Linked DNA regions of Mus musculus: region 2 is reported to be linked to region 1. Evidence: microRNA targets listed by miRTarBase, many of them from high-throughput screens and not tested one by one. Region 1 holds a microRNA gene; the other region holds the end of a gene's coding sequence.
The links. The annotated mature microRNA mmu-miR-218-5p reads UUGUGCUUGAUCUAACCAUGU and lies in region 1 at 2,512-2,532, opposite strand. An mRNA with a match to its seed (bases 2 to 7 or 8) in the 3' UTR can be bound and repressed. Matches are read on the target gene's strand: a 7mer-m8 pairs with bases 2 to 8, a 7mer-A1 pairs with bases 2 to 7 and ends in A, and an 8mer does both.

Region 2: the mRNA of Trappc13 is a reported target of mmu-miR-218-5p. Seed matches in the 3' UTR shown: 7mer-m8 at 1,684-1,690.

What each region holds. Positions count from the first base shown.
Region 1 is chr11:35,615,158-35,619,371 of GRCm38, reverse strand. It overlaps Mir218-2 (microRNA 218-2), which reads right to left and starts at 2,556; the gene lies at 2,447-2,556. The region is part of intron 14 of Slit3 (slit guidance ligand 3); the gene reads right to left.
Region 2 is chr13:104,140,468-104,144,681 of GRCm38, reverse strand. It overlaps Trappc13 (trafficking protein particle complex 13), which reads left to right. Exons shown (of 13, transcript NM_001093759.1): 12 at 131-278; 13 at 437-2,529. The coding sequence ends at 544. Sgtb (small glutamine-rich tetratricopeptide repeat (TPR)-containing, beta) reads right to left here. Exons shown (of 11, transcript NM_144838.2): 11 at 2,821-4,214. Among named protein-coding and RNA genes, the nearest start is that of Sgtb, 33 kb to the right of the region's middle.

The sequences.
Region 1 (4,214 bases):
CGAAAAAGTTCATTTCCCAGTCAGAGCCAGCACGAAATGCCACCTCTGTCACTTCATATTTCATTACGGAAGCTACCCGGGGTTCCTCGGAGCCATTTGTTATGCCTAATGCTCATAACTACCCAAAAGTATTTTTAACTTTTCCAGAGCTTTAAAAGTCAATTTCAATCTCAACACGTATTTGTCACTGCCAGAAATCCTTTGGGGGAGAGAACCAACTGAAACAGGTTTCAGCTCTTTCTCTTTGGGGGTGAGCTCAGGTGGGTGAGATCTTGCAGGATTCGAAGACAGGCCATATAGTCCAACCCCAACTGGAGATGGCCTCAGAGGATCTGATGTCACCTGGCTGTTGCCTGCCTCTGCCCCTGTAGCCCTCTCCCCGTTTGCAGGCATCTCAGAACAATAACACATGGTACATAATCAGAGACAGACTTTAATAGATGGAAGTTGGGTGAAAGGTTAAAATCGACAGCAGTGATTTTATTTTATTTTTTACTTTATTATATATCCCTGTCCTGCATCTACTTCTGGGAGGGCAGCGTGACACATCTAGAAGACCAGCAGATTGGATGGTCTAGGATCAGAAGTAGTAAGGGACACAGATAGGGTGGCTGCTGATGTTGGCTGGCTACATTGGGCACTAGCTTTCGGGCAGCCAGCATGTGGTACAGAATCCACATGTTTATCATTATGTGGTCAGTGGGGGGAGCCAATGCCTGTATCCAGAGTTCTCCTCTATCCCAAGCATCCCCAAGATGGCTGGGATGAGAGGAAGAAACAGGGGTGGGGGTGGTCAAAGGCCTGTCAGGGTTTATCAGCTTGAGAAGGAAGGAACACGGACAAGCGGAGGGTAGAGTCGTGAGTGGTGAACAGAAACAAGGACATTGCATACACAGACACCCATTCCTCTGCCGGGCTGTGGGGGACCAGACACCTGTGGTTGAGAAACACTAGCTGTTTTAGAAGGAGTATGGCTATCATTTGAGCAGGAAGCTGTCTCTGCAGCTCAGTTGCTTGCCTGAAAGCAGAGGGAGAGGCCCATGGTGCAGCCACAAGCCTGCTGCTGTAGCATCATGGAGGTGCCAAGGAAGGGCGCCATGATGGATTCGCTCCCCAAGGCCTGGCCCTGGCATGATGTGGGCAGTGCTAAAAGTGTTCCCTCGGCAAGGAGGGGTGGGACATTTCTCTATGTAGGAGGGGCTGCTTGTATCCATGAGATCTTGTATGATCCTGTTGGAGAAGAAAAGGCACTTGAACAATGCTTTCTCTCCTTTTTACTCCAGTCATTTCTAGTAAGAGATGGAAGCTGGGAATAGAGTATAAGAAACATCTTCAACTTGTCATCAATTCAAGTCAAAGTTTCTAAAAAAAAAAAAAAAAAAGTCTTTTCAAGGCAATGAGTGTCCAGACAAGGGAGAGCTAAATAGCACGGAGGTAAAGCCCAGCCAGTTGGGAGCTAGATAACCCTGACCAGCTAGTTAATATCCTGCCTCAATACCCTTATCTGTAAAATGGAATCTAAAGTATTATAAGGGTGATGATGGTAAGTATACATTCCAATGTTCAGAGAGACCAAGAGGACAGCTATCACTCATCAGTGGCTGGGGCCTTTCTCTGGGTCACAACCAGAGAGGAGATAGTTAAGTCACACAGCTTGGTGGGGACACAGAATCTGGCTCCTACTGCTAAGTATGGCTGTGTCCACCTTAGCTCCTGGAGTAAGGTACAGACTCCAGCCCAAAAGTGACAACAAAGTCTTCTAATTATATTGGGCCCAGGATTTATCAAGACACAAGTTAAAGAGATGGTGCCAAGATCCCTCTGTGGTCAGAGACAGCCGGTGTCTGCACAGACCTCTCCAGGCCTCTGAATGGCACCATATGAAGAGCCCCACGCTTCCATGTAAGCTATGGTCCAAGGCTATCAGGTTGGATATCGGGGTTCATCGGGGTCAGAAGGAGTCCCCTTTCAAGTTCAAAGTCTCAGACCCATGTCTGTTCTACCCATTCTCTTCCTACATTCATTTCAAATGAAATGCACACCAAGAGTGGTGAAAGTCAAGAGCGACTCACCCTCTGCATTAGCTACCACGTAGTGTCCCTGTACTGGGTCTCTCCCATGAAACCCTGGGGCATATATCTTAGGTATACTTGTCTTCTTAAAATGGGAAGTTGGAACCTAGCTGCTACTCTTGAGGATCCCTTGAGACCAGACTTGGAGCATAGTGACTACATCTCATTAAGTAATGTGGATACTCGAAGCACGGCCCCGTGGGTTTCTCTAACCTCCTGTCACCATGTACCTGACTCCTTCAGGATTCCCACCCCCTTCCCTCTGGGAGTTAAGACTGGGAGAAGTGGGTCTGGCAGGCGCGGTGATCCAGAGCAGAGAAGAGTCCAGCGGTGGTGGTGGTGGTGGTGGCGGCGGCGGTGGCAGCAGGCCATGCTGCAGGAGAGAGCGATGCTTTCCGCGGTGCTTGACAGAACCATGTTCCGTTTCCATCGTTCCACCACATGGTTAGATCAAGCACAAAGGAAAGCCCCGCGGCAACTGGTCAGAGTCAAGGTCAGGAAGCAGCGTCAGAGAGAGGACAGGAGCGCTCAGAGGAAGCAGCGTGGAGAAGCTGAAGCCAGAGCAGGCCCCCACTGAGCGTGATTAGTACCAGGAGTGCGGTCCACTGGATCCTGCCAAAGACAGGGGCCCCCACCTCCCAGTGCCCTGCCCCAGGGAGACTCAGCAGCAAAGAGGGACAAGGTGGGAAACCTTCATACACTCATATCCAAGAGCATTCTGGCAGCTGACACACCAATTACATACTAACCCAGGACTGAGCCTGTAAAATCTGTCCCATGCCACCCCACTATGTAATCTGATAAGACATGAAAATCAGCAAAACCTTTCCTCATGCTTTGTGACACAGGACTGCCCCCACAGCTGAAGAGCCCCATGGCAGTCTATTCCTCTTAAATAAAGACATGGTCTAGCACAGCATAATCTCATCTCCAGGCAAATCCTCCCTTCAACATCCCACAACTCGAGAGGCTCCTGGGGACCTTGCAGGCAGGGTCTCCTGGCCCCCTGGGCCGATAGCCAATCATTTCTGCTGCTCTGAGGTACAGTAGAGGGGGAGTTGTGGAGCGAAAAGCAACCACATCTCAGCTGGGCAAAGAACAGAGCCTCAGTGGGGCCATGGGTCTCAGAAGGCGATACCTATAGTCATTATGGTCTGAGAACACTGTCACAGGTAGAGCTAATGCATAGAGGGTGGTCGGAGGCTGCCTTCTGATAATGACTAAGAGAAGGAAGGAAAGGGCCAGAGAATCAATCGTACAGCCTCAGAGTAAGACATCTAATTTTAGGTTTCTTTTTGATTTCTAGATCCCTTCTCTGGCTGGGAATCATGAGAGAGAGAGAGAGTTAGGTAGACTCGGTCTATTTATCTTGTATGCCATAGAGTCAATCTTTACATCCCATCTTCCATAGGTGACATTTTTTCCTACTTGGCATCACGCTAGAGCTGTGCATATCTCAAAGAAATGGAGCCACAGCCACATGACTCTGATCATCTCTGTTGGACACAACCTCTGATGGGAGGGACAGGTCACTCTCCTCTACCATAGTTTTGGGGACTGTCTTCATTGACAAGGTGCTCTCATACTCAGCAGCTTAGCATTGTGTGGGCTGTGTGCATTAATGGTCCAGTTAGCGTTCACCCATGCCTGGCCCTGTTCACCTCTCTTTCCCTATCCCAATCAGATAGACTACAGCTACTAATGGCACTGTGGGCTCTGCTGCACCTGGAACTCCAGGGCTCTGTGAACACTCTAGTTCTAAGATGTCTCCTGTGAGGGCCTTGGTATGAGTAGGGTACATTTCACAAACTTAGAACATCCTTGGGTGGCTGGGAAGATGAGCCAGAAGGTAAAGGTGCTGCCAGGCCTAGTGACCTGGGCTCCATCCCCAAGCTCCATAGAGTGGGTTAACAAACTCCTGAAAGCTGTCCTCTGATCTCCATACTTCTGCTGTGTCATGCCACATATGTGCACATGCACTCACACAATACACATATGCATACACACACACACACACACACACACACACACACACACACACACAGAGAGAGAGAGAGAGAGAGACTTGCATGTGTACACAATAAAGTTCCTCTCTGGCCCTCTCTTTGCTTTTCTAAAATGACATGGAGAGTCCCAAAGGTA
Region 2 (4,214 bases), not on the chromosome of region 1:
TTAACTCCCAAGTGGTCCCTCGCTCCTTCATTCTATCTTAGGCTGAGTAATGACATGCTCATTTTAGGAATGTGATGGTATCTGCTTAGGAAATAAACAGATTTATCCTGGTTTCTGATTGTTTCAGCAGTGAGAGGATGATGGACCTCGTGCTGGAGATGTGCAACACCAATTCCATCCACTGGTGTGGGATCTCAGGACGACAGCTGGGGAAACTGCACCCCAGCTCCTCGCTCTGCCTGGCCCTGACGCTCCTGTCCTCAGTACAGGGGCTCCAAGTACGTGCTGTTCAGTGATTTCAACCGGGTGGGCTAAGTCATCATTTCTGATAGCTGTATTTTCCATGGTAATTATCAATGAGTGAACACTGAGGTGCATCTCATATTTTCTCTCTCTCTCTCTCTCTCTCTCTCTCTCTCTCTCTCTCTCTCTCTAGAGTGTCTCTGGCTTAAGACTCACTGACACATTTCTAAAGAGAACATACGAATATGATGACATCGCGCAAGTCTGCGTAGTCTCAGCAGCCGTGGAAGTGGAAGCCTAAAGAAAATTCCTAATGTTAGACTTCTTGTTTAATCACAGAAATGCTCTCTGTATTTCGTCAGCTTTGTGCAGTGATCAGTAGTGAAAACAAGTATATGTTATTTAAATGTTTCTTGTAAAACAGTTCAATTTTAAACGTTTGTTGTAAAAACACTACTTTTATCTTTCAAATTATATTCTAGAGGAACAAAACATTTCTTTATTTTCTGTATATATTTTGTGTCCTTTAAGATACCTGTCATTTTTTTTGTTTTCAACAAGCTCATCTTTGAGGCTTTTTGTCTAACAAGTATATAAAAAGCAGTCAGCGAACCTTTTTGTAAAGGGCTGGGTATCAGATGTCTTATGCTCGGTGAACAGATGAATTCTGCCATCTGAGTAGGCAGGCAGGTGTATCCGTGGTTGATGGACCTGCTTGCCAAGGCCCCTAGGCTACACACTAACTCTGCTGGAAGACACCATTTGCTTTAGGATTATCGAATTTCCATGATACTTAATATAGAAAGTTAGTTGAACTAATCATGGTCAACTGCATTCTCTTTCCTAGGTGCTTAGTCAACAAAGAGAGGCCTGTGTAAAACAATTCAGCCAGAGAAACATTTCAGTTGTTTTCAAAATTGTTGTATGGTTGCATGTCTGTCTTAGTGTACACATACCAACACACGTTAACAGACACTCGAGAGCAGGCCAGGATTGACTGATTTAATTAGCTTTCAACAATGTTAGCAATTATTTCACTTTAATCTAAAGACTCCTGGGGTCTTCCCTACTGAAGAATAAAGAGCTTATTTTCATAATATACATTTAAATGATTCCAACTTCACATCTGATTTTTTTCTTTCTTTTTTTTTTTTTTTTTGGTTTTTCGAGACAGAGTTTCTCTGTGTATCCCTGGCTGTCCTGGACTCACTTTGTAGACCAGGCTGGCCTCGAACTCAGAAATCCGCCTGCCTCTGCCTCCCGAGTGCTGGGATTAAAGGCGTCGCCACCACGCCCAGCTGTGACTTTTAGCTCTCTATCATGTACTAATATAAAAGATTTATTTGTCCGTTTAATCACAAACATTCGGGGGCTGGAGAGACGGCTCAGAGGTTAAGAGCCCTAACTGCTCTTCTAGAGGTCCTGAGTTCAATTCTCAGCAAGCACATGGTGGCTCACAACCATCTGTAATGGGTTCTGATGCCCTCTTCTGGTGTGTGTGAAGACAATGGTAGTGTACTCACATATATAAGATAAATAAATCTTTAAAAAAATTACAACCATTCATGTCAGGAACAAATCAGCAAGAAAACTAAGGCTTACAACAGCTTTGCAATAGGTATGCATCAAAACGCTTCCCTGTTTATTAGGGAAACAAAACCCATGCTGTTAAATAAACTTCATCCTAGTTTGGCGAGTTCAAAATCCCTACTATATATTAAAAATATAACTCTTGGGCTGGAGAGATGGCTCAGCAATTAAGAGCGCTGACTGCTCTTCCAGAGGTCCTGAGTTCAATTCCCAGCCAACCACATGATGGCTCACAGCCATCTGTAATGGGATTCAATGTCTTTTTCTGGTGTGTCTACAGACAGCAACAGTGTATCCACATACATGAAATAAAAAAATTAAAAGTTCTAAAAAATATAAGTCAAAGACAAAATCTGTTTTCTTAAATGCATAATTATTTATTGCCATGACAAATTGTTTGGTCCAAAATGAAAGGTATATTCAGAAGACTTGCCCCTCACATACATTAGTCATGATTGATGAATGTCTGTGCAAAACAAAATATAAGCAGTGAGAACTGAGGTCCGTTCCTTTGGGCTGACAGACTGGTCAAGTCGTATTTATCAGCATCTTCTTATGACTGAACCACTGTTTCAGTCAGTAGGAATGTACAACTTATTCTGCTATATTCTTTAGGTTACAAAGTCTCTTCTGTGTATACACAACATAGCTGTGTACTATTCATACTTTAAATAAAGGACAGATAATGCCATCTTATAAAGGATCTGAGTCAACTATTATAAAAACTAGATTGACAATTTGATATAGTAAATGAAAATTCCATTTCCATAGAAAGGACACAGTGGATTTTGCATAGCACGGTCACAGCGTCAGCTACACCATTGAAATGGGTTCATGGAAGTCAGGCATCCTAATTAGGACACATGGAAGTCAGGCATCCTAATCAGAACACGTGGAAGTCAGGCATCCCTAATCAGAACACATGGAAGTACTCAGTGCCCTGTTTCTCAACAAGAAGGGGAAGAATACTGGGGAAGTGTCTTAAACTTTTAAGACAGCTAGCACAATCAGACCATACCAAAAAAATTATTGAAATGGCTTGCAGTGTGATGATTCCGATGTGCTGGACAGACCCGAAGAGTGAAGGGTGTCCTGACTGGAAAGAAAATCTGTGGAAATGGGAGACAACATCTGGCTGTCTGGTCCTTCCTTCCCAAAGAAACAAAACTAGAAACGTGCAGTGAAAGATGCACTGGTTCCTGTGTCCCACCTAAGAAGAGCTGCCTTCAGCAAGGGGCATCAGCACATGAAGATAGAGTTCCCAAGCTGGGAATTCTTATCCGAGTCCTACTGCTCACATGAGTTGGGGGCTGTTTCTTCCTTGTCTGCTTCCCGAAAGAGTTAAAGAGAAGGGATATCCTTCTCTCCCAAGACCACTGAAATCATCTGAGCCTTATTTTTTTTTTTTTAACAAGACAGGCCTATTCAGCTTATCTTCTTCACAAAGATTTGTTTCCCAAAGTTGTTAAATACAGAAATCTAGAGCAAGTCATGAGGTTTTCTAATTGTCTGTTTTGTTGTTGTTTGGGTCGGGTTTTTTTTCTACTGGGGTGTTTGGGGGTTTTTGTTTTCGAGACAGGGGTCCTGTAGCCCAGGCTAGCATTGTACTCACTGTGTAGCCAAGAGTGATGCTGAATTCCTGGTCCTGACCCTTACCTCCCACGTGCTGGGACTCACCGCCATTCCCTTTGCATGCAGTACTAGGGAAGGGGTAACCCAGGGCCTCACACATGCTGGGCAAGCACTATGCACTGATCTGTGTTCCCAGGCGCTCTGGTTGTCCTTTAACAGCTCCAGGATCTGTTCCATGGGGCATCTACTCTCTGTTCCTACTTATTTCCTCTCTAATGCAGTGATGGGATACGAACCAAGTTTTTGGTTAATAAGCCAGTTCCATTTGAAATGAGCCTTCTTATCCATCAGTGCACTAAGAGTCCTCCCATCGATAGCTCGTGTCATTTCTTCCTACTAAGCACACGCCAGATGCACAGTGTGGCATCCAATTTAAAATAAGACAGTTGAAGTCTCCTGTTACGTTTAAATTGCAATAAATTAAAGTTAAGCATAAGAACCGACATGCCAAGCCAAACTGCACCAAAGGATTACACAAGTGAGCAATGTTAGAGATGGATGCTTCTGTTAGCCATCAAATAATGGTCAAGAAAAATAGTCATCGTCGTCGTCGTCTTTGATGGGCACATAATTAAATCCCACTTAGGAAACCCGGAATCTGGGGACACGTCAGTGGCTTCTTTAAATGTAACGAGATACTGCCCTAGGTAAGTTTTCCAGCAATGAAATTGTGACATTTAAGCTGTGATAATTAAATGGGGCAGTAATGTCACTGACCTGACCAGCATCATTAAGGATTTCTAAGTATG